Struthio camelus: one gene and its partners. The protein of the gene in region 1 interacts with the protein of each later gene in a biochemical or structural test. Links are inferred from orthologs where the notes say so. Each region holds a gene or a part of one and is shown in the gene's direction. Other genes may lie near its edges. The genes, in order: SP1, ESR1, NR2F1 and CCNA2.

Region 1 (7,085 bases):
GGAACACTGGGAGAACACTGGGGGAATGGGGAACAACGGGGGAACAGGGGAATGGGGAACACTAGGGGGAAATGGGGGAACACTGGGGGAACAGGGAACACTGGGAGAACACTGGGGGGAATGTGGGAACACTGGGGGGAATGGGGAACACTGGGGGGAAAAGGGGAAACACTGGGGGAACACTGGGGGGAAATGGGGGAACACTGGGGGGAATGGGGAACACTGGGAGAACACTGGGGGAATGGGGAACAGTAGGGGTAATGAGAGTAATGGGGAATACTAGGAAGAATGGGGTAATGGGGAACAATGGAGGAACAGGAAGCAATGGGGGAACGGGGAACAGTGGGGCCAATGGGGAACAATGAAGGGAATGTTGGGAATGGGGGACAATGGGGGAATGGGGAACACTGGGGGGAATGGGGAACAATGGGGGGAATGGGGAGCAAAGGGGGAATGGAGGTAATAGGGAACACTAGGGATAATGGGGGGAATGGGGAAGAATAGGGGATTGGGGAACACGGGGGGAATGGGTGGAATGGGGAACAGTGGGGCTGGTGGGGAACAATGGGGGAATGGGGAACAATGGGGGAATGGGGAACAGTGAGGGCAAGAGGGGGAGCGCAAGGGAATGGGGGTCCTGGGCTGCTAATGGGGAAGGGGTTCCTAACGAGGCGTGATGGGGGGGGCTTAATGGGCAGCAAAGGGGTGCTAAGGGGGAGGGCCTTCGCCCCGACGTCCAGCACAAAGAGCGGCGCGTGCCGAGCTGGCCAGGACTCAGCTCCGGGGGCCGGCGGCCCCCAGCCGGGCCGCGCGGGGAGGAGATAAAGCCCCAAAGCTCTGTCGGCCGCGGGGCCGGGCCCTCTCCCGGCCCACCCGGGGGGAGCAAGCGACGGGAGCAAGCAGGGATTTGGAACCTGATTTTGGAGGGGGGGGGCTGAGAAACGAGGATGGATGGCGATTCCAGCCGGGGGGGGGTGGTATTCTGCTCCGGAAAGGCTGGGGAAAAAGGAGCCATGTCACCTCCCCGGTACCCACCAGCCAGTGCCGTGCCGATGGGGAAACTGAGGCACAGGGCCGGGCCCCGCTAAGCTCTCCGGCGTCCGCCGCTCAGCGTCCCCACGTGTCTCCCCCCCCCCCAACCAAGCAGCTCGGCGCAGCCCCCAACCCGGCCTGTCCCGGTGCCACCGCTGCAGGGGCTGGGGGGGGACGGGGGGGCGGCCGCGGGCCCCCGCCGGTCCCAGCTGCTGGCCCACGAGCTGCTGACGCCGCAGTCCGCGGGACGCGGGCCCGGATGAAAGGAAAAGCCGTGTTTGCTCGGCGCTGGCGGGGGGGGGGGGGAGTTGAGGGGGGGGGCGGCCCGGCCTCCTCCCCGGCCCCGCGGCAGCTGCGGCGGCGACTTCCAAGGCCGCAGCGGGATTTGCGGTGAAACTCCGGCCTCTTCCCTGCCGGCAAGGGATTGGGGGGGGGGGGACGACGACACCAAAGCGACCGCCCGGCTCCGGAGGTGCGCACCGCAGGGACAGCCCCCCCGAGCAGGGGGGGGGGGAAAGGGGGGCAGGTCCCACGCTGGGGGCTTTGCGGCCGAATCGGCCCGAGGCGAGGGGGACAAAAAGGGCTGACGGGGTTTGAAAGACCCTTGGCCAGCGTAGGGAGCCACGGCTTCGCCCGGCTCGCGGGGGGAAACCGAGGCACGGGCGAGCTGGGCCATCCCGGCCGCTCTGCTCCGACCACATCCTCCCTTTCCGCGGAGATGTGGAGTTAACGGGCTCACGGCGGCAGCCCGGCTCCCGGGAATCAGACGCCCCCCGGGACGCGCTAGCACCCCTCCGAAAACCTCTCCGAAACGTCCCGGCGTCTCCCGAGCTGGCCGGGCGAGGGCTGGGGTCGGTCGGCAGCCATGCGGGCCGGCGCGCCGGCTGGGAGGCAAAGGGAGGGGAAGCGGGTTGGAAAAAGCAGGCTGCCAACGCTCCCGCGATTTCGGCTGCTCTTTCGCTTTCAGCTGGGGCTTTTTTACAGGGAAGACGAAGCCGTTTAGCGTTTCCAACCCTGCTCGGCCTTCCCAAAGCAACCGAACGCCGCCACAGCCGGGCCAATGCTCCTGTCCTCGGCTGCCCGCGGGTCCGACTTCCGCCCAGCTCCGTATTGCTCTCCGCTGCCAGGGTTTTGGGGGAAAAGGCCGGCGGATTTGTTACATGAGAGATGCCGGAGCCGGGATTAGGGCCGGAAGATGTTCCACCGACGCCGAGCCCAGGGAGGGCATGGGTTTGTTTTGTTTCGCTGCGCTCCGTCCGTTTCTTCTCGAAAAAAACAAAAAAAACCCCTCGGTGTTATTTTAATTACTCAGGGGCTTGCAATCTGCTGGCGGGGGGGGCAGGCTGCCGCGGGCCGAGTGCCGGGAGGGGGAAAGCAAAAATAAAACAGTTCCGCTGGAAGCGGGGTGAGGTCATGGTTAGCGACGGCAGAATTTTCCAGCTGCTGAAAGAGGGGAACGATGCAAAAAAAACCAAAACAAAACAAAACCAAAAAAAAAAACCAGGTCACTTAACACAGCATTTGGAAGGACAGCAGGGGCACCGCGCAAAGGATTTGCCCGAAACTGCGACCTCTGACTCCTCGATCGGAGCGGAGCCTCCAAAACCAACACGGGCAGCGCGCGGGGAGCGGGGAAGCGGCGCTCCGTCCCGCCGGGATGGCGGCAGGACGCCCCGCTCACGCCGCCGCCAGCCCCGGCGTCCCGCCTCGCCGGCGGGGCGCATCAAAGGGAAGCGGGGGGCCGAGCCAGGCGGGATGCGAGGGGCCGGGCGGCGGGAGGCGGAGGCCGGACGGCGACTCCGCGCGCCGCTTCCCCGCGGCCTCTGCGCGAGGGCCAGGAACGTCCCGGCCCTTCGAGGACCCGGCCGGGAGGAAAACCGCCTCGTTTCGGGGCAGTTACTCCTTGCGGGACCCCGAGCTGGGCCCTGTCACCGCTCGCCCCGTGGCTCTCTCTCCCTTTTTATAAACCTGGCACAATCTGGGGGCTTTTGTGGAAAAAATGACACCCCCCCACCACCACCCCTCAAAGCACCTTTTGGCCCCCTAACACGGTGCTGCCACAGGGCAGCTGGCACCCGTGGAAGGGAGAGGATGAGGCACCGCGACAGTGACGGCCTGTCACAACGGGGCTGTGGGGACGGCACCCGGCTGAGGCGCTGCCGTGACAGGCCACGTCGCAACAGGGAGTCGAGGGCCTGCCGCCATGACAGCCCCCCCCTCCCCCGACACGCTGCGAGGAGGGTTCGCGTGCGGCGTTGTGACGGGAGGAGGATGGGACTAGAGGGAACGGTGGCACTGTCGCGACACGGCCCCGGCCAGCCTGGCCGCCCCGGAGGCGGCAGCTCGGGCCCCTGCGCTCCCCGCTCGGGACAAGGCGGCGGCTGGGGTCGGGGCGGAGCCAGAGCCAAAATGGCGCCTTTTCCGCCACATTCCCAGCGCCGCCAAGCCGTCCCTCCAAGGGCGCAGCCCGGCCGTTCGCCCCGCCCCCACCCGGCGCCCATTGGTCAGTTTGAGACGGATCGCCGTTCTCATTGGCGAGCAGCCCCGTTCCTGCCGACCCATCCGGCCTCGGATTGGACAGTCAGCCGTCAATTTCCGAGCCCGCCTTCTCCAGCCGCGCGGGCAGCGCGGCTGCCCGGAGGCCAGTTGGCGGGTCCTCACGCCAGTCATGCCTCCGCCCCGCCTCCCGCGCGGGACCGCCGCCCATTGGCCGTGGCACGCGCCCATCCCGCCGCGGTTCACGCCGCCTTGGCCGCTCCCATACGGGGTCTCCCTGGGAGCCCGCGCCGGCGCTGATTGGCCGGCCCTCACGCCAGCCCCCCCCTTCCCCTCCCCCGGCCGCCAGCGCCCTCCCGCGCCCCCATTGGCCGCCGCCCGCGGCGCCCCCCTTCCCCCACGGGGCGGGGTCGCGGGGGCGGTGCGGCGCGGCCCCCCCTCCCCCCGCCGCCGGCCCGCCCTCGCGCCCCATTGGCCGAGCCGCCCGCCACTCGCCCGCCCGCGGCGGCGCCCCATTGGCGGGCCCCGCGGCGGGGGGCGGGCCGCGGGGCCGGGGCCGCGGCGCGCGGCTCCCTCCCTCGGCAGCCCCTTGGCGGTCACCGGCGGGGTTAGGCCGCCTCGTCAGCGAGCCGGGCGCGCCCGCCCCTCCTCCCCCCCGCCCCGCCGCCGCTTGGGCTCGCCCCCCCCCCCGGCCACCATGAGCGGTAAGGACGGGCCCACCGCGCCGGCGGGGGGGGGGGGGCGAGGGGCGCGCGGACACACCACACACACACACACGCCCGCCCGCTCGGAGGGGCCAGCGGCGGCCCCGCCCCGCGCCGGGCCGGGCCGCGCCGGGCCGGGCCCCGCCGCGCCGCGCCGGGGGGACCTGCCGGGGGAGGGACCCGGGGGAGGGGGGAAGGCCTCGGGGGAGGGACCCGCGGCGAGGGAGGCCGGGCGGGGGCCGGCGGCCGTTCAGCCGTGCCCTCCCTCCGCCCCGCCGCCGCGGGAGGGGGGGGCCGCCGCCGCCGCGGCCGGCGCGGTGGGGGGGGGGGGGGAAGGCGCGGGGAGGGCCCGGTGTGAGGAGAGGGTCACGGGGTGGGGGGGAGCCGGGCCTGGGCGCGCCCCGGTTGGAGGCGTGGGCCCGGGCGGGGGGGGGGGGGGAAGCACCGGGGAGGGGGTGTTTATGCGGGGAGATGCCGGGGGTGGAGCAGGGAGAGGGGAACACACCGATGAAGGGGTATCCCCGGGTGAGGGGGGAGCCTTAGGCAGGCGGATGCATGTGGGGTGGGGGGAAGGAGCCCGCCGAGGGGTGAGGGAGAGCTGTGGGGAGGGGACCGTGGGCTAGGGGGGGATCCATGGGGTGGGGGAGAGCCGTGGGGAGAAGGCCCACGGGGCGAGGGGAGAAGCCGAATTAGAGCGTTTTGGGGGAAGGAGCTGTCGGAGAGGGGAGGAAGGCCCTACGAATGACCTGGGGGGACCTGGAGGGAGGTCTGCAGGGGGCCTGGCAAGGGGTGCTCGAGGGGCAGGAGTAGGGGGCACAGGCCCCAGTTCTTTGGGGGTCAGGGGTTTTGCCAGGGAAGGAAGGTTTCGTGGAGGATTGTGAGGGGCTGGGGGGGGATCCAGGAGGATACGGATTTGAGGGGGAACAGAGACACCGGGCAGTGGGATCACGGGGAGCGCAGATGGGGAATCCTAGCCTGGATGGGGCCTCTCCAGACGGGGATCCCTGGGGAAGCCAGTGGGCTGGATCTGCCAGGGGAAACCCCTGGGCAGGGCAAGGAGAAAGCCTCAGGGGGTGGATCCGCGGGGTGCCGGGGCCAGCCAAGGAGGGCCTGAGCGGGAGGTGTGCTCCCAGGCTAGCGGAGAAAGGGAAAGGGGAGGCCCGAGGAGAACCGAGGGGCCAGGGAGTGTCCCGAGCAGGCAGGGAGGAGCTGAGGCCTGGAGCGCGGCCTGTCCCTCCTCCGCCTGTCTCCGTGCCAACTCCCCTTTGGCAGCTCCCTCTGCTTCCCAGCCCCTTCTCGCTGGTGCCGGAGCAGCACTCGGTCCTCCCAAAAGTGCCTACCAGAGTGCCTTCACCTCTCCCTGCCCCAATCCCCTGCTTTTCCAGCCCCATAACTCCTCTCAAGTCCTTGTGTTCCTCTTCCCCCCCCCCCCAATCCCTCTGCCCAGAAATGTATTTTAACTCCGACTGTTGTTTCCGGCCCACACAGACCAAGAGAGTCCCGAGGAAATGGCTGCAGTGAAGCCCGAGAAGGGCGAAGGAGATGCCAGCAGTAATAGCAGCGGAGGTGGTGGGGAGGGCCAGGTGAGTGCAGGGAAAGAGGCGGTGCAAGGAACAGCCCGAACCTGGCAGCTTCCTGGCTCCGCTCACCCTGGGGACTTGCCGACCTCGTAGCAAAGTCCAGGGCCGGGGCGGGGAGCTGCGCTGAGGTGTTTGTTTGGCCCAGCCAAGCGCTGCACAGGCTCCTCTTCCCAGGGAAAGGAAGAGAGGGCGAGTGAGTGACGGGGGAGCGTCGCGCTGCCAAACACCCTGTTGGAACGTGTTCAGCAGGGAGTGCCAGCCCAGAGCATGTTTCCCCTCCTCCCCGAGTTGTGCATGGTGCTCTTGAAAATAGGCTGTACACCCTGGTTCCAAGTAGCTGCCACGGCCCTGACCAGCCCTTTCCCTGATCTGGGTGCCCAGAAACAGCTGTAGGAGTTGTTCTCCTGTAGTGCTACAAGGAGATTCACTCGCTTTGGAGTGGAAGAAATGTGTCTCTTTGGGTTTTACATGCAAACTCCCTCCCCTTTCCTCCCCACCGGAGGGTTTTTCACTGTGGGTTCAGTTTGTCCCGGCCTGACAGCCCTGTGTCTGGCAGTTGTATTTTTCCGGCTGTGGGTGGGTTTTCTCAGGAAGGAGTGTTTATCTTTTCCAAGTACGCTCCTCCCTGGCTTCTCTTTTTTTTTCGGCCTGCCCACTGGGCCGCCTCCTGTGTCCTTAACTCCTCCTCTCCTTCCCAGGAGTCCCAGCCTTCCCCGCTGGCTCTGCTGGCAGCCACCTGCAGCAGGATCGAGTCTCCCAACGAGAACTCCAACAGTTCCCAGGGCCAGCAAGGCGGGAGCGGCGAGCTGGACCTCACGGCCGCTGCTGCTCAGATTGCCCAATCCGCCAACGGTTGGCAGATCATATCCACTGGCTCCAGCACACCGACTCCTTCCAAGGAGCAGGGCGCCAACGGCAGCAATGGCAGCGACTCATCAAAAAGCCGGCCCGTGAGCGCGGGGCAATACGTGGTCACGGCCGCCTCCAATCTGCAGAACCAGCAGGTGCTGACGGGCCTGCCAGGTGTTATCCCAAATATCCAGTACCAGGTCATTCCCCAGTTCCAGACCATTGATGGGCAGCAGCTCCAGTTTGCCACCACCCCTGCCCAAGTCAATGTGCAGCAGGATGCCTCTGGCCAGCTGCAGATCATCCCCGGCACGAACCAGCAGATCATTACTAGCCGAGCCGGGACGGGTAACCTCATCGCCATGCCAAACCTGCTGCAGCAGGCTGTCCCCATCCAGGGTGTGGGCTTAGCCAACAACACCCT
Region 2 (7,364 bases), on another chromosome or scaffold:
TAACTATATTCCAGTAATCCTGGTAAGAGTGGAAGGAAGGGGAGGAGCACTGATTTTTTATACTTCAGCTTTTTCTCCTTTCAGGTTTTATCCAATCTTGGCATATTTCTCATGGGTGTTTGACCATCAGCTCAGATTAAACAGAACTAAAACAGAACTCGTTTCATCATCTTTTATTCTTCTTCTGTTTCCTCTTCCTTCTCCGTGCTCTCTTACTTCCTTTTTTGATCACTGTGGACAAAGCTCTCATCCTTCATGTTGCTCTGGCCTGGACGTCAGTGTTGGTTTGGACATCCATGCTGACTGGCATGTGCAGTTTAACTTTGAATCTTAATCCCTAATTTTAACCAGGCTGTGATACTAGACTGTACCGCTTACTTATTAGATTTTCAAACCAGATGATGTTTTGTGTTTTCTTCCCCAACTTGAGGAGTCCCTCCCACACAGGAGGAATTCCTTCTTCTCAATGATATCCAAAAAATTACTCTTTGGGGTACTCTTTGGAGGCTTTGGAGCCTGCCTTGAAATTCCCTCTCCTCTGTGATATTAATCAAAATGTGACAGCGGTTGCCTGAATGGTTCAGCAGCGAGAATGGTCTTGTACTTTCACTAGTTTCCCGATCAGTCTATCTGTTTGTCAGTCTGCATGTCTGTATCTGGCATCTATCTCTTTTCTTCATTGTCTTAAATATCACACAAAGGTTTCCCCCCAGAACATTAGTCTTAGGGACGAAAAGATCACTCCTACATATGACAAACAAAAAATTAGGAGTGGATTTACCACCAGGCCTTTGCAAGGAGCACCCTGAAGCACAGGCAGTGAAGTATCAAGACTGGAAATCTCCAGAAGCTGAAGTTATGAAAAGCTTGAGAGGTAGCAATGGGTGCACGCAGGAAGCAGCCAGGATACAGCAGCTCTCCTCTAGATTTTCACCTGACCAGGATACAGATGTCTAGGTGTAGTGAGGGCTGGCTGCTCCCGAAGGGCAGGGAGCCGGGACCTGATGGTGACCCCAGCGCAGCCGTGCCCTCGCCCAGGAGTGCGCCCTGCAGCACTCAAAACAGGGCAAGCAGAGCTGGATGCTGCCAGCAGGGTCTGGAGACAGCCCCAGGCTCAGCGAGGGGGTTGGCCAGATCCAAGGTCCAGTCAGGAGCAAAGGGAGACAGGGCTGGGACGGGGCTGGAGACAAGGCTACAGGTCGGCTGCGAGGTGCCCATCCAGGAGGCAGGGCCAGAGGCTGGGCTTGAGACAGACAAACCTACAGCTGCTGTGGCATGGACTGACGGCCCCTGGCTGAGCTAAATGGGCTCCTGGGCCTGGGGCTGGGGTGAGGGCAGGCCTGGGAGGCCATGCAGGGCCGGTAAGGCCAGTAGAGCCCCCAGGGCTCTACTGTAGGATTTGAGGCTTGCGGGCCTCCTCCCTGCCTCCCATCCAGTCCATATTAATTCAGAGCCAGCTTCTGGTGGGCATCCTGGGTACAATTGCCCTGGGCCAGCTGCTCAGAGGTGCCCTGGGGCATAGAGGCTCCACAGACAGAAGATGGCAAGCAGAGCAAAACCAGAAGACAGATGGTGGAGTGTGGCCTGAGCCGGGTGTGTGGCAGGTGGCAGGACCAGGCCCAGCCCGCGCCTGCAGCGGCGGGAAGGCGGCACGGAGCCGTGGGGCACAGAGCCGCGGGGCCCCAGGGGGAGGACAGAGCGGACCGGACAACCTTGTGCTGCAGCCAGCCAACACTCATCCCGGTCAGGTTCGTGTGGTGGCAACAATCTCGCACTTTGTTAGTGCCCCCAGGAAAGGCCTCATCCTTGGCCATGCTGGGGGCCAGGGGTGGCAGAGGGCAGGGAGGATCTGGCAATGCCATCCAGGGCCAACAAGGGGCCCCAAGAGGTTGGGGACAGCAAATGGGCTTCAGACGTGACGTTTGGGAAGCGGGAACGGGCTGGAGAAGGAGATGCTGTGGGGAGGAGGTCCTCGAGGGTGGACATCTGGCAAGTGACAGGCATGGAGAATGCGCTCGTGCTTGTATTGCAGATTATGCAATATGGGCACTTTTTAGTAAAAAAAAGTCAGAGTTATGTGATTACATCACTCTCCTCTCTCTCTCTCTCTCTCTTTTTTGTGAGCTTCTACTCTTCACAGATGCAGAGAAAATTTGGAAAATTTTATCCAAAAGGTAACAAAAAAGTGATGATAAGGTTAAAAACCCAAATCAAACCAAACCAGATCATAACTTTTTTCGAATAAGACCTAATTTGTGGATATTTGGGACTGGCAATCATGTAGAACGGAAGTTTTGGGGAAAAAAAATGATTGGGAACAGGAAGAATGAGGACTTTGTTTGAAGTAGCAGTCTGAGGTAAGAAATATGCTGGAAGGGAAACAGAGCATAAGAACCTCTGCTTGCTGAGATACATTCATCTTGCTCTTGATTTAGCTCTTTGGCCCATGCGGTATATAAATTATTATAGTATTAGAGAAAGAGCCCATTACAGCTATACTGACTAAGATTTCAAATACAGTATTTCCGAATTCTTTATGTAACAAGTTTGACAGCTCATAAAGTTTGACCATAAAGTTTGGCAGCTTGCTATCTGTAGAGTAACAGTTTGTCTAAAACAAAGCAGGAGCTCTGTGTATGTGTCCCAGTTACTGCAGTCCCTCGTCTCTGCGCTGGACTTCAGCCAGGAAGGGCACACTTTATAGATTTACTACATTCCCAGTTAGGGCACCCTTAACAGTTCCCTTTTCTCCTTTTTCTTAGTTTTATTATGATTTAACTTTTAGGCCTTTTCTACTTTTTAGGTAGAATTTAGCCATTAGATTTCAGTGCAGACTTGTGTGGGCAAGCGTGGATGGCACTGCTTATTTTGCTGGTGCTAGAGCTCTGGAAAGGCAGGAGAGTTGCTGCTGCTACTGCTGCTGCTGCCACTGCCACTGTTCCCCCCAGGGGTGGCCAGAGGTTGTTGCTGGAGAAAGAGTTTGCAGCCAGTGCTCACCAGGCCCACCTTGCTATGTTGGCAGTCAAGGAGAGGCAGGTTTAGCTTTTTAAGGATCTACCTCAACCCCTCTCTCTTTGTCTTGCCTCTTTTGTTTCCTCTCCCTTCCCCTGCACCCCAGCCGACATGCTTACCCTTGAGTCTGCAGAGCTCCATCGCCTGTGTTTCTGAGAAGACTTGAGGCAATTCTGGTACAGGGCTAGGTGCTAAAAGCAGATAACTAACATTTTTCCCCAAAGATTTGAATGAAAGGACAGAGTTATGGTCAAAGTGGCACCCTATCAAAGGATTAACTACCTCTGATAGATTGTTGTATCTAGATAAGTATGTCACAGGTGCTGCTGATTGAGTAAATTTGCCAGAATTGTGCGGCATTGCATCAGTTTATCACTCAGTAACCTAGTCAGATTGTTGCTGGGACAGAGATGTGAAACCAGCCAGAACAAAGGGGCTGTTCTGTTCATGTAGCGTGAATTAACTTATTAGTAGGTTACAACTACTTGTTATAAGCTTAATGCACTTTTTTTTTTTTTCCTTCGGTTCATCGTTATTTCAGACACGAGTTCAAATCAACAACAAAGTTTGCTTCTCTTCCAGGAAGTGATGCCTACTTAGGGCAGAAGATTCAAGGAATGTTCTTGGCTTGAATGTTAAAGAAGCATTCATTGTTTCATTGCAGTGACTGCTTCCTTCACATGGATTTAGAAATCAAACTGCCTCTCCTTATAAATTTGTCAATACGTTCCTGTTGATTTTTTTGAAGACTCATAAAAAAATCTGTTTTTTTCTGCTCAGATTTTTACTGGGGAGAAGTTCATAAGTTGGATGAGGGCTCCCTAGAATTTAGAAAGAAACAGAATATACTAATGTCTAAAAAAATGGTTTAAAGGGATATTAAAATATAAAGAATGTGGTTAAGGATAAGTTTGCTGATGGATAGTGCTAAATCATTCTAAGAAGTATGGCTGAGAACAGGACAGAAGATCCTTGTTTTATTTATCCTTTGTATTGCTTTATTGCCACAGGTTTTGGCTTTATGTAATTTTTTTCAAGAGTGTGTTTACTGAAAATACAGTGTACTGACCTGAGAGGGAGGTCCTTGCTCCTTTTTCCTCAAATAACCTTCTCAGTGGCATACACATGACCCCATACATGGTTTGCAGAAGTTGCATCTGGCTCAGGAAGTCTCCGTAACAGGAAATAGTTGGAGGTTGGGTGAGTACTGGGAGAAGTGACTCATACACTTGCCTGTTCTTACTCTTCCCTAGACATCTGCTTTCAGACAGTGTTGGAGGCAGCCTGTAGGGTGAGGCAGATGGCTGTCTGACCCAGCATGTCCTGACACACTTTCTACCTGGTGGTCGTTTTTCCTCTACGTGTGGAGGGCATGATTTGCTCTCCAGCGCTGCTTCCACTGGTGGCTCGAGGTGATGCAAGGATCAGCACAGCATGACACATCACTTGTGTTCAGCCGGAAGCCTGCTTCTTGGGAAGCAGGCAGTCAGGTGCGTGTAGGGGAAGCTCAGCTATAGGCAGTCAATTTTGTCTAATCTTCATAGCTTCAGTAGCTATGATAGCTTCGGTCTGTCAGGAGGAAGGATATGGTAGAAATATTTTCATGGCATCATCTGACTGCCAGTATACTGTCCGGATCTGATCATTATAAATAGGGTTTTGGCCTAAGCAGTGAAGAGCGAATTCCTACTTAGCAGCTCATTCTGCGGTCTTGGATTGGCTACAAAATAACTTGGTCTCGTGCGCAATTTAACTTTTTTTCACCTGTGTCCAAAAGATTTAGATGTTGTTTGATATCCAGGACTCAGAGTAATGAGCCTCTGGAAGATCAAGGTAGAGATTTTGAGCTTTATTATTTATTTTCTTGGTAGCCTGTACTACTGAACAGATGTGGTATAGATGAAGTGAGCAACACATTACTTCTGAAGATTCATAAATCCTGATGTTTACTGGTTCCTGGCTCATGCCCATGTGACTCCTCATCCCATGGAGGAGAAGGGTTCTTGCCTCAGCTGTATTTCTGGGTGATGGTTCTCTCTTACAATTCTCCTCACAGAAGTCAGAGGAATCACTATGGGCGGCTGGAGGAGTGGGTTGTTGTTTTGTTTTGTTTTGTTTTTTCCCCTGGAGAAGGAGCATAAAACAAGACTTGGAACAGAGACAACAGCAAAGTGAACCAAAATGTTCATGGGGCTTTTGTATATACAAAAAATACTCACATAGGCACTTGTGGGTGTGTATGTGCAAGTGGTAGAATTAGTCTATGTCTTGCATATATGTGCGTGAGTGTATGCTAGAATTCATCCTGTCCTTTTGAAGAGGATGTAATTAGGGAGTGGCAAAACCAGCCAAATATCAGCTAAACTTATTTATTATTAACCGATATCAGCCGAATTTAAATTCAACAAATGTGAATAAAGTTTTGGAAGGAGAGGTAAGCTAGAGGTAGGAAAGCTCTTCTTTTCCACTGCTTATTCAGTTGCTCCATGGCAAACCTATGTATCACTTTTTTCCCATGGATTCTCTCATTCTTTTTCTGGGGCCCTTCCCTTCCCCCTTAACTCTCACTTTCTGTAATATAAAAATAATACATCTGAAAAGGGTTTGGATGCAAAGTGGGAGAGGCAGTACCTGCCTCCATGCTGGTGAAGGAGACACAGGATCTGGCCTCAGCAGGACCATTGCCAGGACCCACACAGATGAGACCAAAGGCCTGTCCTACTGTGTGTCCTGGTGGCTGAGCTGATAAGCACTGCCTGCAACGCTAGGAAAGAAAGAAAAGGAGGTGGTGACTCCTGCACAGCTAGTAAATAGCTAAAGGAATGTTTTATATATGGCCATAATTCTGTGATAATCTAAATAATTAAATTGAAAGCTTTTTTTTTTGGCTGTATGTTGAAGGTTATGCTACTTATTGGTGTATTTATTTTAATCAAATATTTTTGGAGGCTCAGACTGTTTTTAATTGAAAATACATCCTGTCCTCAAAATATTGATCCTGGAGAGCCTAAGTTAAATAATGATAGCAGTAACAGAAATTTCTTTAGACCTGACTGCCAATACTAATGACTAGTGACAATTTTCCTTTTCTAAATACGGACTCTGAGTTTTGTGCCTTAGTACTAATTTGATGCTTTATTGCTGGAATAGTTTCTATTTATTTTCTACTGTACCAGGGGATCACCGTCTGCAAGTATCATCTTCCTACAATACATTATTCTAAGCTATGTTACATTACACTGGAATAGTATGCATGCTGTAGTAGGAAATGCTTTAATTCTGAGCCTGATTTGCAATCACACTGTATCTAGAACTAGCTAGCTAGCACATTTAGAGCAGGATTAAATTTCTGGCAGAAAAAAATTGGGCTTCTCAAAAAGCGTTTAGCAAATTCACCTGTGTTTCACCAAATTTTTCCATTTAAAACCAGGACATGAAAAAAGCATTACAAAACATTAGGAACTTTACTTTGTCATTTGCATGATAAAATGTTTTGATGTTTGACACAAAATCAGCTTTTACTTTGAAATTTCTTTGATGTTATTTAAATAGTAAAAGTTTCATGTTTAGAATGCTTGATGCTAGCCACTTGCTTTCTGTCAAACAAAATGCTTTCTGTGATCTGCTGATAGCTTCCTCTCACGCCCTAACATGTTCAGGGTTTTCATGAGGTCATATTTCAATGAAAAGTCGAGAGAGGGAGTGTAGAAGAGCGAGGGAAAGTCTCTTTTGTTTTTCTCTTAATTTCTCCTACCAAGCATATAGTCTATACCTTTTCCATCTCTCTTGATCTTCCCTTTTCTTTTTTCTTGTTCATGGCGATCCCATTCCAATTAGTGAAAAGAATTCGTTACTACTGTTCTGTTTTCCCTCGACTTCTCTAAACTATTTAACATGAAGTAGCTACAAAATTAACATGAAATTAAATAAATTGTGATAGTAATACAAAAGGCAAGGTAATCAAATTTGATCTTGATTTAAGTTTCAGCTGAGAAAGACTTGTGTTAACAAGAAAATGTAGTTTTTCCTTATTAATTCCTTGGCTTGTGTGGGGTAGTATCACTATTGTTTAGCTGGGAATTGTGATGCCTGCTCTAATTAAGATTTGCTATTAGATCTTTAGATCTGCTATAACATCTTTCCATCAGCTGCTGTTCATTTAGGAACCCTTTACCTTTTGGGCTGAAATTTCCTGTATTTGATCCCTGGGAAAATTTCCATTTTCTTTCCCCTTATCTCTTTTGAAAATTAGAGGAAAATTTGTTTGCTTATTATATTTTATTATGAGAGGTGGGAAATACCTAATTTCATAAAAGTTAATATGCCTAGAGATTTTGCCGGCTATGTGTCTG
Region 3 (6,993 bases), on another chromosome or scaffold:
TGTGTCTTGCTCTGCCTCTTTTACTCCCTGTCTCTTCACAGTCTGGGGAGTAAAATCTAGATGATATACATACGGAGCTCGCTTTTTTGTCTGATTTAATCTTATTCGTTTCACCTTCTCACTGACCAAGAGACAGGACCGAGAGTTTATTTGGGAAGAAGGAGAGAGAGGAAAGGAGCCTACTGTTGCATAGTCAATAACATCCTTTTTATCAATGCAATATACAATAGAGACCGCTTGGCCAAGGGGCTCATTGAAAATCTCTTCATTATTTCAGGACAAAATCAAGCGTTTAGTCTGATCTCAGAAATGATGAAGGATTCTCCTTTCCAGCCGGCTCTCAGTCTCAGATTTCAGAGCTGACACAAAAATAAAATTGTGATCATGATACGTCAAAGTTGAGGGCTTTTTTTTTTTAATGAAAGCAACATCTCTTTACAAAAAAAATAACAACAAAACTTTTGTCATATATTTCATCCCCTTTCCCCCTGCAGTTTTTTCCCCCGGCTTCCAATCTGATTATAAACTTTTATGGGAGCTAAGAGGAGGGTAATCTCCCTCATCTCTCTCTCTCTCTCTCTTTTTCTTTGCAGTTTTTTTCTTCTTTATCACAAACAGTCTTCTGACCCAAAGCGAATTTTAAACCTCTCGCAGAAAGGGGGAGGTTTCAGGGAAGGAAGGCTTGTGAGAAAGGAGGCTAGGAGAGGTACGCAACTAGAAAGAAGGGGGTTCTTTTCCCCAGTGCAGTCACTTAAAAAAAAAAGGAAGAAGAAGAAGAAAAAAGAAAAAAAGAAGGGGGGATAAAAAGCCATAAAAAGATTTTGTGGCTTCCTACTGCTTCAGAAAAGGCAGAGGCTTTGTGCGCGGCGGAGGAGGGGGAGCGGGAGCCGGTGGCTGCGGCGGGCGCAGCGGCTCGGCTGGGTGCCTGTCCGCTAGATGGCAGCCGGATCCAGCGATTCCGCTGCGCCACGCCGCCACCGCCGCGCCGGGGCCGCGCCGGGCGGAGCGGGGCGCGCAGCGCGGCGCAGCGCGGCCCCGGCGCGGCGCGGCGCGGCGCAGCACGGCGGAGGGGGCGCCGTGCCCGCCCGCCCGCCCCCCGCTCCCGCCCCTCCGCCGCGCCGCGTCGCGCCGGCCTGCGCGGGCGCGCAACCCCCGCCGCCGGGGACTGCGCTTCACCGGCATCGATCCGCGCAGGCGGCGCGCGCAGAACTTACTTTTGGGCTTTTATTACTCGCCGGCGGGGCTCTCCTGGCGGCCAGCCGCGCTCTGTAAGAGGAGACACGGGCGTGACACGGGGGGGCACGGCGGGCACAGGCATTCGGGTTTGGTCCGGCCGCTTCCCTCCCCCACCTCACCCCCCACCCCCAAAAATGCTTTTCCCCGAGCAAAGACGGGTGTTGATTTCTGATCCCATTTCATGACACTGTGAACCCCACCGGGGCCATGGGCAGTATAATAAAAGGAGGGTGGACATATTCGGTGAGGAATGAGAGCAAGACAGACCAGCAGCAAAAATAGCCCAAAGTGGGACAGGAGTATATGCAGATGTAAATATGTACGTGAATGTGTCTGTGCACACGCACACGCACACGCACATACACATATACCCCTTCCTGCATAAAGCATATTTTCTTCTCCATCATTAAAATCCCTCGCCTGGTTTTTGCAATTGAAAACAGACACAGAAATCCCATTTTAAAATATGAAAAACTTTTCACGGGGAGCCCAAATCGTTCCCTTTTAATTCCCCTCTCCGCCTATCGCAATGCATCCTCCTCTTTTGATGTGTGTGCATGGGTGTGTGAGAGCGAGCGAGCGAGCGAGGGAGACCATAGACGACCCATACTAATCAGGTCTCAAAGTAAATAGCAGCGCAGGGCGATCTCAATGTAAATTGTGCTTGTCAGAAGAATCCCCTCTCCCTCCCTCCCTCCCTCGCTCCCCCTCTCCCTCCCTCACTCCCCCCCCTCTCCTCCCCTCCCTTCCCCATCCCAGTCAGTAGGTAGCAGAGAATTATAAAAAAAAAAAAAAAAAGACCGGGGGGGGGGTAACCAATGGAGTGAAGGAGGCTTGGCTAACCTTAGCCTCCCATTTTCTCTCCCCCCAATTCAGGGCTCTGACCAGTCAGTCGCCTTTGATTATCAGTTGCCAGCAGCCCTTCTCTTGGCTCCTTGACATGAGCTCCATATAAGGCAGCGATCTCCATAGAAACGTGTCAGTTTCAATAGTAGTGTCAAAGTTCACTATATACAGACATTCGCGCAGATCCCCCTTTCGGAAACATTGCTCTGCTAGGCTTCCCGTTTAAACGCATTCATTTTTTGGGTCTCTCTCTCTCTCTCTCTCTCTCTCTCTCTCCCTCTCTCTCTCTCTCTCCCTCTCTCTCTCGCTCTCTCTCCTTTCTTGCATATTCTATTAGTTGTTTTTTTTCCCTTCATCTCCCTCTTCTCCTTCCTTTTCTTCTTTTTTCCACCCTTCCTCCTTGTGTCTTTCGCTTCATTCCTGCAGGAGAAGAGAAGAAGAGAGAGGTGAAACTAAAAAAAAAAAGAAAGAAAGAAAAGGAGAAAAAAAGCAGAAAGAGAGAGAGAGACAGGGGGAAAAAAAGCCCGGAGAGAGAGAGAGAGAACGCGTTCACATCTTAATACCATTATTATTTTGACCGTTCTTGTCTATTTTTTTATTTTGGGGGAGGGTTTTGCTTCTGGCTGATGAGTTTTTACCCGAAATACTTTTTTTAGACAAACAAACAAAAAAAAAGAACCTTTTTTGGGGCGATTTCCACTGATTTTTTTGCAACCAGCATCGTGTGTTCTCACAGAAGAAGAAGGAAGGGACAAGAAAGAGGAAAAGAAGAGGATTTATTTATTCGACCTACTTTGGATCTCTCTTTTTCCTGCGTGTGTCATTATTATTCCCATTCTCTATTTTTACACTTCGCCGTGAATTCGTCTCCTCTGCGAATTTAGTCACATCCGATATTTTTTTTTGTATTTTTTTCTTTAAAAAAAAAAAAGGCAAGAGAGACAGAGAGCGAGAGAGAGAGAGAGAGCGCGAGAGAAAGAGAAGCGACCGGCAACCTCCTCCACCACCACCGCCACCAACACAAAATCAAACTGTCTCATCTCCCAGCCCGCCTCGACCGCGCTCCCCGGCACTGCCGCCCTGAATGGCTGACGGCGCCCTGCCCTGGACCTGGCCCCCGGACACCTCCATGCCCTGATCGCCGGCAGCCGGCTCCTCTCCGTGCCTCCAGCGCCCGCCTCGCCAGCCCGGCGCCCCGAGAGCCCGCAGCGGCGGCGGCGGCGGCAGCGGCGGCGGCGGCGGCGGCGGCGGCGGGAGCCTCCGCGGCAGCAGCGGCGGCGGCGGCCGGGCCCCGGCGGCGAGCGGCGGCGAGCGGCGGCCCCGACCTCCTCCTCTTCCTCCTCCTCCTCCTCCGCGCTCCGGCTTCCTCTATGTCTGCACATCCTCTGCACTCCTAGCGCTCGGACCGCGTGTGCGTGTGCGTGTGTGTGTGTGTGTGTGCGCGCCGCGCGGGTGTGTGTGTGTGTGTGTGTGTCCGGTGTGTTACTCTCCTGAATGCCTCTCCCGACAGCCTTATTTGCCGTTTCTGATTTTGCAACTTGAAGTGGTGGTGGTGGGGGGGGGAGGGAAAGAAGAAGAGGAGAGAGCGAGAGCGAGACGGGGGGAAATAGCCAGACGGGGGTATTTTAAGAGGGGGGGGAGCGCGAAAAAAGCCCTCCATCTCCCCCTCCCCCTCCCTAAAAAAATTAGCCAGCGAGCGAGCGAGAGGAGGGGGGCTCGCGGAAAAAATAAATAAAATAAAGAAAACGGCAGGAGCGGCCCCGGCAGGCAGCGGCGGCGGCACAAGGGCAGCGGCGGCGGCGGCGGCGGCGGCGGCGGCAGCCGAGGCGGCGGCAGGCGGCAGGCACGGTCCCCTCGCTCCCCGCTCGCCCCCGGCGCCCGGCCGCCCGCCTCCCCCCCGCCCCCCGCCTCTCTCCCCGGCAGCCCGCAGCGAGAAGCGCCGCTCCCCAGCACTTTTTTGGGCCCGAGATATGGCAATGGTAGTTAGCAGCTGGCGAGATCCGCAGGAAGACGTGGCCGGGGGCACCCCGAGCGGCCCCAACCCCGCAGCGCAGCCGGCCCGGGAGCAGCCGCCCCAGCAGCAAGGGGGCTCGGCCGCCCCGCACACCCCGCAGACCCCCAGCCAGCCGGGACCCCCCTCCACGCCGGGCACGGCCGGGGACAAGGGCCCGGGCCAGCAGGGCTCGGGCCAGAGCCAGCAGCACATCGAGTGCGTGGTGTGCGGGGACAAATCCAGCGGCAAGCACTACGGCCAGTTCACCTGCGAGGGCTGCAAAAGTTTCTTCAAGAGGAGCGTCCGCAGGAACTTAACTTACACATGCCGTGCCAACAGGAACTGTCCCATCGACCAGCACCACCGCAACCAGTGCCAGTACTGCCGCCTCAAGAAGTGCCTCAAAGTGGGCATGAGGCGGGAAGGTGAATATTTCTTCCCTACTATACTATCGCTCTCTCTCCCTATGGCTATATGTGTGTGTGTGTGTGTGTGTGTGTGTATGTGCGAGTGTGTGAGAGTGAGTGTGTGAGTGTGTGTGTGTGTGTGTATACGTACACACACACAAGCACATATATATACATATATATATACACACACACACACACACACATATATATATTTTTACAGCTCTCCGTGGCGATCTAGGTCTCTCTCTGTATTTACATGCACATGTCAATCTCTCCCTGTGCCTGCACTCCATCTGGCAGCTTTGCACCAGGTTTTGTTGTTATTGTTGATGGTGGTTGGTGGTGTTTTCTTTTGCTTTTTGGTTTGTGCCTCCTGCCCTCCTCCTGCTCCTCCCCACCCCCTTCCCCAGCACCGCCACACTCTTCCCTTCCCTGCTCATTGTGCTGAGAATTTATTATTATGATCGCTCACTAAATATTTATCATTTAGCCGCTATCTCCGTGTGTGTGTGTGTGTGTGTGTGTGTGTGTGTGGATGTGGTTTTGTCTATTGTTGGCATGAGACTGGGGGGGGAGGTGGGGGGAGATGCATCTCTGTACGAGATGTGCTCCCATTCAGCTTCCTTCCCCCCCTCCCGCCCCATCATTTCTCTTTAAACCCACAACACTTCTCGGTAGATCCATTCCCAGCCTCATCTTTCCCGAAAGAAAGATGAAAGACGTGTAAGTAGGAAAGAAAAAAAAAGAGGGGGAAATGTGCTACTGTATCTCTGCTTCCCTGTGCTTCCCAGTGCCCTGGAGTGTGCTTCTGTGTGAGATTTGGCCTTGTTTTCACTCCATGCGTTCAAAGGAAAGTTTGTGACTGAACCGGGTTTCTGTACTTCTGTCATTTTTTTAGCACGCTGCTCATTTTATTTCTTCATCAAACTCCACCCTCTCCTTAAAGCCTGCATACAAATTGCGATTTATAACCTATTTACCGATCCTTCTCATTTTAGCAGAATTCATAGTCCGCATCTGGCAGTGGGCTCCTCACCATTTCCAAGTGCTCCTTTATTTATTTATTTTTCTTCTCCTTTCTAAGAGTTGCTGCGGTTTTCCTCGCATTAAGGCTTATTTTCGCGTAGGAAGATTTCCTGCCCTCTTTTCTCCTCGAAAAGTATTTCTCGGTTTACAGTTAAAGTTTATCCTGTGACTATCGTTAAAGATATCTTAGAGTCACAGCGACCTAGTCGATTTTGCGGAGTGGGGATTACTACTGCCTTAATTGGTTTTAAAATTATATTTTATATGCCACAAGAAAAGAAATGGAGTTGCTCCAGATCTGAAAGAGCTCACAAATATGACGACTTCATTGGTAGCTTCAGGGGTTGTTGGTAGGCGTCTGGAAAAAAAAAACCACCACCAACAAACTTAGAATTGTGCTTGCAGTTAATTGAAAAATAACTGCCAAGTTTAAAAGCAGATTCAAGAGGCAGAGGTGGGCTGGAGGGCAGAAAGAGGAAGGTGCAGCCCGCGAGACGTGGAGGGCTCGGTGGGGAACATACGTGCTCTGCTACGCTGGAATAAAAGAGAAAGTTGAGAAAATGTGGCATGCTGGAAAGATGAATTATCTGTGTGCCTGTGTGTGTGTGTGTGTGTGTATGCATGTGTGTACGTGTGTGTGTGTGTGTGTGTGTATATAGAAATAAGCCTGAGTAGCCGTATCTTCTCCTTAAGTTACCTTTGTTTACATGGCATGTGGTTTAAAACGCTGGCACTGATGAAGTGAAACACACACACACACACACATACACACACACACACACACACACACACACACACACACACACACACTAAAAAAAACTTTGGTCAGCTTTCGGGACTCGAGGCATGCTTACGCTCTGTGTGGAGATGGTTAATGAATCCAGTGTTTTTGCAGTTGCAAGCTTGTGCATTCACTGTGCAACGCTGACTGCAGGCTTTTGCAGTGGCAACAGCGCACCAAAGATATTAATTACACCGTCCCCTTTTTTTTCCACGAATGTTTGGCTATTGTAAGTTCGGACCTTTTTGTTTTATTTTCCCCCTTCCCTTGACAATATTTAATCTTTCTCTTCCTTTTAGCAGGGCGAACTTTGCTGGGCGGGGGAGGGGGGTCCTGTATGGAAAGCTTGTTCTGTGTAATAAAGTTAGCAGTGGGAAGCTGGGGGGCTGTGACCTGGTCTAGTTTTAAGGGTAATGATGTGATATTTTTGAAGAATATGGACGCATTTATTTTTTATGATTTGAAAAAGGAAAGAAAAGCAACGCAGCAGTTCACTTGTAAATCTCAGTGCTACCAGGGCAATCGGCTGGAATACACAACAGAGCTTGGCTATATTTTTAACAGCTGGCTGTGATTTTTAACCCCACTTTCTTACCACCCGGAGGATTTCTTTGATTTTATTTTTTTATGTGCGGGGTTGCCTTTTGTTGCGAGAGGGGAGGGGGCCGGGGGGCGGATTTGTCTTGTTTGCCTTGGCTTTT
Region 4 (7,494 bases), on another chromosome or scaffold:
TCTAACAACTAGAAAGTTGTTGGGGTTCTTGTGGTGGAGGGCCTGTTTTTTCTCCATTCTGGTATTGCAGCTTGCCTTCCTGTTTGCCTTCCAGGTCTTAGAATGATAAACTTAAGAAGAATGTTGGTATATAAAATACCATCCAAAATCTTACTTGTGTAATCTTAATGCCATGCTACAAATAAGATAAAATTGGTTTATCTGTGTATGCTTGCAGATAACGCTTTGTCTTAGTTACTAGAACAAATTCCGTTCTCTGACACGGTTACGCTGTGACTAGGAAAGGAGGGAATAACATGGGTGTATGCAGCCACCCAATATATGAAGAATCACCATGACCTATGTAGAGGTTGCTTTCTCTGATTTAGGTGTTAATTTATAGGTCTTGTATTTTAGAATGGGGAAGTATCGAATGCATGCATCTGTTTCAGGTTGGTCTGCTTGTTTAAAAGTTTTCTTTCTTTCTTTTTTTTTTTTTTTAATAGAAAAGGTGAGGGATTTTTTAAGTCTGACAACATTTCTACCATATCCATCTTAAAAGATGTGCTTTCCAAAGAGGCTACTAAAAGGAAGATTAATCTTAATATATCATATGGTAAAACTTCCTTACTGTTTCATTGTCTTTGACTTCATTTTATATTCTTTTAAATGAAACATTACTCATTTGCTTGTTGTTTTTGGTGGTTTTTTGATGCCCTACTAGACATAAATGAAGAATCTGTGAGGTATACATTAAAGCTCATCCACCCCAAATTAGAGTATCAGCAGCTGTTGGCCAAGAAGGTTCACTTAATAGATGCTTTGAAAGTAAGTATTCTCCTCTGAAGGATTTTTGTGTGGGTTATGTTGGCAGATATCAAGCTGTAAGGCTCAAGTCAGCATGTGTTATAATGTTGTCTAATCTTTTTCTGTTCCCAATACATGTGTAGTAGTCGTCTAGGAGACAAACATTTTAAAGTAAAACTCCTATTTGTAGTATATAACAGTGAAAAACATAGAATTACTGATTGTTGTTGAGGATGTTTAAATCAGATAGTAGACATGGGCAGCTGATTCCTTCTTGCGCTGGCCTCCACCAAAGGACTAGTTGTCTGAACTCTTTGGTTAGTGGAAAAACTTTACTACCGGTGACCACACAATATATTGTAAATTTTTATTTTATTATCAGTAAAAGTATTTTACTTAAGCTTGATTAAACAAACCTGAGAGATAACAAAATAATAATTTATTCTTACTGCGTGATATGTTTCTGCATAAATAATGATGTTGCAGCTCTTGGAGAAAGTGTTTTGTGCTTGCTTTTAGGCTTTTTTTGTTAGCAAACCTTAAACTTTGTGTCACTGGTATCTAAATAATTTATTTATTAAGAGGCAGTGAAATAATCTGGCGACTGATAAAAGCTATTATTCCTGGAGACTCAAATGCATAATTACCTTCAGTCTAGAAAAAAACCAGTCTTTCTGTATGGGATAAAAGGATCTATGTTGATTTGATCTAATAGTAGACTGAGGCGTTTAGAAGATGTCTTTAAAACCTTTTGCTGTTAGGAGTTCAGCAGTACTTTTGGGATTTACTTTTACCTTTAGACTTTTAATGTGTGCTACACTTCCTAGGAATTTACTTATTCTGTAAAAGAATGTACTTACTCTGTAAATATACTTATTCTGTTAAAGGTGTTTATTCTGTAAAAGCGTGGTGAAGGCTTTGGGCCTTCGTTAGGCTTGATTCTGTAGAGGCTGAGCTGCAGAGTGATCCTGTTCTGGCAGCACTCGGAGCTCGAAGATGTAACACGTAGCATTGTGAGAATCTAATGTATGAAGTGACAAGTAACATCTGGCATTTCATTAGAAGACCTAGAAAATAAGGCACTTCTAAACTAGCAAGAGTTATGGTGAAGGGCATTGTCCCTGAGGTATTTCCTCCTGTCAGATCCAAGCTGATTTTTTTTTTTTGTTGCTTTTATGTTTGTTTAGTACGTACCAGTCTCTAATTTTCACAATTTAAAATGTCTTTGAGGAATTACAGGTTCATGAAGGAAATGTGGACTTCCTGCTACCTAAGTACCGTAGCATTTTAGAAGAGGCAGATCAGCTGCTTGAGGAATACAAGAAACAACCTGCACATCTCGAGAGACTTTATGGTGTGTTGATTAACCCAACTTTTTTTTCTAAATGCAAATTAATGTTCAGAGAACACATTGGACGTGACTGAAATAGTTAGGAAGTCAGTATCTGTAGCATTGAAATAATATGATAAGGGGGTACTTTTAAATAGCTTCGGGAGACCTAGAGGTGTCTAGCCATATATGTCCATCTGCTCATACAGCTAGGCTGGATGGCTACACAGTATTTTTGATCATAACCTTCCAAAGTTAAAGGTAAGGTAGTAGAACTTAGCACACACCAAAACTGGTTCTGCTACTACAAATTTAAATAACTCTCCAAAGGTCCTCAAGAATTATTTGCCTGAGAATTTCTAAAATTGTCTTACTATCATAAGCTTAGTGCTGCAAATGCAAATACAGGATTATTAGCAAGTTACTTTTGTATTTTCTATTACGCAGCTTTTCATATTCGGATGATCCTTGTCTTTATGCATATGATGCAGAAATGTATTCTAATTCAGGATGGCGTTTAAGAATATATTTAAGTTGAATGAGTGATTAAGTTCTGCCACAGGAAAAAGACTTTTACAAGTTAACAGAAAAGCAGAAAAATACACATGGGATGGGAAGGGAGAATCTTTGATGTAATTAAGTGAAGGAAATTCTGTTAACTTTTCTGGTGCTCCCCATATAGCCTTTAGCTCAAGTAATCTCTGCCAGGTGCTAATTTGATAATGTATCCATTATAAACCCAGTTCTCCTTTCATACCCTTTGACAGTTCCTTTCTCCGGAGTGTTTCAAGTATGGGTAATTCTAAGGCAGAAATACCTGCTTTGGAATGAAGCTGGAATCTGGGCTAACAGGAGAGTGCTTTGGGTTTATTCAAAAGAAAATCATTGTTTAAAACATGAAGTTTAAAAACGGTCTCGTGTCTAAAACCAAAATCGACTAGAATAGTCTATACATAGCAAAGAGTTAATAGTAGAGATATCTCATGGTGAAAACAAGGCAAATAAAAATCTTGGAACTTTATTTTGTAGGTATGATCACAGATCTCTTCATAGATAAATTTAAATTTAAAGGCACCAATGTGAAAACGAAAGTTCCTCTTCTTCTGGAAATTCTGGATGGCTGTGATCAAGATGGACTAATTGCTTTTTTTGAGGCTGCAGCCTGAATTGGAAGCAACAAGGAAAAGGCGGAGTGATTTATTTTTTTTTATTTTTATTTTTTCAACCAAGGCAGTCCACTATGGAGTCGAATACATTATTTTTTGAGAAATGTTTTTATTATTCCTTTTACGCTTTCATTTTATTCTTACTTATTACCATATTGAATACTGGTCCATTTTAGTTCATATAAACTGTTGTACGTGTTAAATGCACACGTCATTTATATATACACAAAATGTTCTTCATAGCTAAGGAAAACTAGAGAACCAGATACTGAATAGCCTTTTTGCAGGAGTACGTTTTCAGTATTGTTAGAGACTATAAATAGGAATATTCTCCATTTGGAAGAATGTATGAGGAAATTTGTTTTCATGGACTTAGGACAGTTAGGAGAAAATCAGCTGTTTGATGTGTAGCTATATTATTTGTTAGCGGTACTGAGCAAGTGCTTCAATGCTATCAGCACATTGTATGTAACTGACACACATGAAAGTGGGGAGAATTATCTCTGAATTTTAGATTTACACGATTACTTTAAAAACTGCATGTGAACTCTTGTTTAGAATGGATTGCATTAAATTTCCTCCATGCGTCTCATTTGCCTCAATTCTTCATTTTGTAACTCATTCCAAGTTACTTTCCAGTACTCTTTACTGAAAAATCAGTGTGCTCTTTAGCATCTGACTTTTTAATTTAAACTTAAAAGACATTAAACAGCCTCTGGATAGAGGTGTGTGTGTGTGTGTGTTCTTATTTCCTGAGCAACGAAAATAAAGAAGAATAAGTCATGACATTAAGTAGGAAGGCAAAGATTGAAAAACAGTTCAAGCACCAGTGCTGGGCTGCTTCCCTGGCGCGGGACCCGGGGGGGGGCGGGACTCCCTGCCCGCCGCCCACTGCGCATGCTCGCTTCCTCCCGCTCCCCAAGCCACGCCCCCTCTCGCCGCAGGCCACGCCTGCGCTCCGCAGCGCGCCTCTCCCCGTTCTCCCTTGGCCCCTGCCGCTGCCCGTAGGCCGCGTGACGCGCCGCCGCCCGCGCGCGCTCCTCATTGGCCGGTTCAATAGTCGCGGGCTACTTGAACGGCGAGAGCGGCGCCGCCGCGCGACACTCGGCCGCCCCGGGAGCCGGCACGCGTCGCGCCCGTGCCCTGCCCTGCCCTCCCCTCCCTCCGCCGGCAGCGGGGCCGCCCGGCCCCGGCCCCGGCCCGGCGGCGCGATGATGTTCGCGGAGCAGGAGAACCAGGAGAACGTCCCGCCCGGCGGTGGCGGCAAAGCAGCGCCGCCGCCGCCGCCCTCCTCCTCCGCCGCCGCCGCCCGCGTGGCGCTGGGGCTGCTGCGGGGCCCCCCGGCGCGGGCCGGGCCCCCGCCGCAGGCAAGTGCGGGGCGGGCGGGGGCGCGCGCGCGGGGCGGCGGCGGGGGCGCGCGGCGGCGGGGGGGCGGGGCGATGCGCGCGGGCCGGGGGCGCCGGCCGTGGCCATCTTGGCGCGGCGGGAGCTGTCAGGGCGGCTGTCAGCGGGGGCCGGGCCGGGCCGGGCGGTGCTGACGGGCCGCCCCCTCGCAGGCGGCGCGGAGCGGTGGTGGCGAGGGCCATGCAGCGGCGGCGGCACCGGGGCGGCCGGGCGGCGGCGGCCAGCCGGCCTTCGCCATCCATGTGGACGAGCCCGACGGGGAGCAGCAGCGGCGGCGGCGACGCGGGGCGGCGGCGGCCGAGAAGGAGGAGGAGGCGGCGGCGGCGGCGGCGCTGGGGCTGCGGGCGGCCGTGAGCGGCCTGGGGGAGCGGCGGCCGTTGGCGCCGCTGGGCAGCAGCCTGGAGCTGAGCTGCGGTGAGTGCCGGGCGCGTCGCGGCGGGGCGGCCGGGCGCTGCCCCGAGGCCGCCGGCGGGCCGCGGCCGCCCGTGCCGCTGCTCACGCGGCCGTTGTGCCCCGCCGCAGATTCGCCCAGCGTTATGGACATCTCGATAACCTCCGACGCGGGAGAGAGGAGCCCCAACGTCAACAACGTGCCGGACTACGTCGGCGATATCCACACGTACCTCAGGGAAATGGAGGTGAGAAGCTGCGAGCTGCCGCGGTTCGAGCAGGGCTAAGGGCGGGAGAAAGCCCGGGCCGAGAAACGTACCGGAGCGCTACTTAACTGCTACGGTGGCCAAAGCAGAAGGCTGCTAGAAAGGGAGAGGGAGAAGATGGGTGCTGTGTCCGCTGCTGCGAACGCAGGACTGCTCTTGCGTCCTGTGACTGTGCTACGCGCTGCGGCCTAAGCGGGAAAGCAAGACTACAGAAAAAGTGCTTGCTGATCCTACGTTTGCCGTTGCTGGCTGCTTCTGCCCTGCTTAAAACCCTTTAACTACGATAAATAGAGTTGAAATGCCTGCTTCCCTGCAAGCACTTAATGCAAACTAAACCTTGTATGTTATCAAAACTTACAGGTGAAATGCAAGCCTAAAATGGGTTACATGAAGAAGCAACCTGATATCACAAACAACATGCGGGCTATTCTTGTGGACTGGCTGGTGGAAGTTGGAGAAGAATACAAATTACAGAATGAAACCCTGCACTTAGCTGTAAATTACATTGATCGGTTTCTTTCTTCAATGTCTGTTCTAAGAGGAAAACTGCAGCTTGTGGGTACTGCAGCTATGTTGCTTGCATCGTAAGTGAAACTGCTTAATTTAAAATTCCACCTGCTGGTCTCATACAGATGGAAATCTTCTCTTGTGGCTATCATGTTTTGTTGTCTGTAGGCAGACTGACTAGGGATGGTTTCACACTAGGTAAGAAGCAGCAGTTATCCCCCTAAGAGCTTGGTAGCCTGTGTCAAACTCTGCAAGCGAGGTTCTAGGCTGTGTTTGTGGATTGGCCTAATGTGAGGATTCGTTATTTCTAGTTGCGGCAGCAAAAGACTTTTCAAACGTATTTGGGGGAAAGAACGTGAAAAGGAAATTTTGCTCGCAACTGTTAGTCTCCTAACACTTTCAGGAACTTCAGTAACTCTTGAGTCCCAAAGTACTTAATGGTAAAATTGCTGAGCGTAGCTCTCCATAACTTCAGAGTCTGCAGATCCAAGACCTAGTGAACTGGATGCAGCAAACTTATTGAGTTACAGTATACAGCTACTTGTCTTTCACTAACTGTTGCTGGTTACTTGGTTCTCTGCTACGCAATTACTTGCTTATAACTGTTCTTTATGGCAGGAAGTTTGAAGAAATCTACCCTCCTGAAGTGGCAGAGTTTGTCTACATCACAGATGACACCTATACCAAGAAGCAAGTTCTAAGGATGGAGCACTTAATTTTGAAGGTTTTGTCATTTGACTTGGCAGCTCCAACGATCAACCAATTCCTTACCCAGTATTTCCTACATGAGCAGACAAGTGCTAAAGTTGAGAGCTTATCAATGGTAAGTAAGAATTAATAGTTGAATCTGCGTAACTGGAAAGTTATCTTATTAAGGCACCTTACAAGCTCTGTTTTCTATTCCCAATAGAAAAGGAAAAATGGTAAAGGATACTTCAGTCCAGGCTTTTCTGTCTCCCAGTCTTTCTTAAATCAGTAACGTGACTCCTGAGGAGACTTCTGGAGAGCGCGCCTGCTGTGCCATGTGCTCCTCCAGTGGTGGGGCTCTGCCATTGGAAACTAACACTTTTGTCTGCTACTTAGTAGTGGAGCTACTCTGGCACCTGACCTGGCTCAAGCATGAATGCTTACTCAAAGCAGGCTGAGATTGATAAATTCAGGGTCTTTTTCCGTGCTGGATGTTTTCCCTGATGCTTTCCCACCTAAAATTAACACTCTCCTCCCCAAAAAGGGACATCGTTTCTTAAGTCTCCATGTTAAAATTTCCTGTGGAAACTGAATAGGGATCAATGCATAAACGTATTGGTCACCGAAAACTAACGTCTTGAATAGCTAGTATCTTGTCTGGGTGGACTTGTCCACTCAGTGGTTCAGTTTGGCTAGAAAGGACACTCACTTGTTTTTTGGGGAACAAGCATCGAGCTTTAAATCCAGAAGCTATTTTTTCGAAGCAAAGCAGAGCAAACATCTCGGGCTTATCTGGATAAAGTTAAGCTTTCTTAAACGCAAAGATGCCAGGTGTGGCAGGTGCCAGAAACGCTAAATGGAAGCAGTTGTCTCGCTAGGCGAAGGTCAGACGTGACTGGACTCTTCCCTCTAGATCTTACTTACCTCTAAAGATAAAAACGTGGTATTGAAACAGTTT

What was found.
Region 2: the proteins of SP1 (region 1) and ESR1 form a complex in vitro, tested with the Homo sapiens proteins (6 studies listed by BioGRID and IntAct). The link is inferred for Struthio camelus from reciprocal best matches to the Homo sapiens genes SP1 and ESR1.
Region 3: the proteins of SP1 (region 1) and NR2F1 form a complex in vitro, tested with the Homo sapiens proteins (2 studies listed by BioGRID). The link is inferred for Struthio camelus from reciprocal best matches to the Homo sapiens genes SP1 and NR2F1.
Region 4: the proteins of SP1 (region 1) and CCNA2 form a complex in vitro, tested with the Homo sapiens proteins (2 studies listed by BioGRID). The link is inferred for Struthio camelus from reciprocal best matches to the Homo sapiens genes SP1 and CCNA2.

What each region holds. Positions count from the first base shown.
Region 1 is NC_090969.1:3,370,639-3,377,723, reverse strand, and holds the start of SP1 (transcription factor Sp1), read left to right. Parts: upstream 1-4,067; 5' UTR 4,068-4,225; coding exon 4,226-4,232; intron 4,233-4,705; exon of another isoform or gene 4,706-4,757; intron 4,758-5,720; coding exon 5,721-5,815; intron 5,816-6,510; coding exon 6,511-7,085. UniProt on the Homo sapiens protein: Transcription factor that can activate or repress transcription in response to physiological and pathological stimuli.
Region 2 is NC_090944.1:81,057,812-81,065,175, reverse strand, and holds the start of ESR1 (estrogen receptor), read left to right. Parts: upstream 1-4,349; 5' UTR 4,350-4,446; coding exon 4,447-4,502; intron 4,503-7,364.
Region 3 is NC_090982.1:54,170,492-54,177,484, reverse strand, and holds the start of NR2F1 (COUP transcription factor 1), read left to right. Parts: upstream 1-3,973; 5' UTR 3,974-4,052; coding exon 4,053-4,500; intron 4,501-6,993. UniProt on the Homo sapiens protein: Coup (chicken ovalbumin upstream promoter) transcription factor binds to the ovalbumin promoter and, in conjunction with another protein (S300-II) stimulates initiation of transcription. Binds to both direct repeats and palindromes of the 5'-AGGTCA-3' motif.
Region 4 is NC_090945.1:19,618,662-19,626,155, forward strand, and holds the start of CCNA2 (cyclin-A2), read left to right. Parts: upstream 1-4,493; coding exon 4,494-4,649; intron 4,650-4,838; coding exon 4,839-5,100; intron 5,101-5,208; coding exon 5,209-5,324; intron 5,325-5,702; coding exon 5,703-5,926; intron 5,927-6,467; coding exon 6,468-6,672; intron 6,673-7,494. Other genes in the region: BBS7 (Bardet-Biedl syndrome 7 protein), read left to right, coding at 486-595, 704-807, 2,017-2,140, 3,146-3,282. UniProt on the Homo sapiens protein: Cyclin which controls both the G1/S and the G2/M transition phases of the cell cycle. Functions through the formation of specific serine/threonine protein kinase holoenzyme complexes with the cyclin-dependent protein kinases CDK1 or CDK2.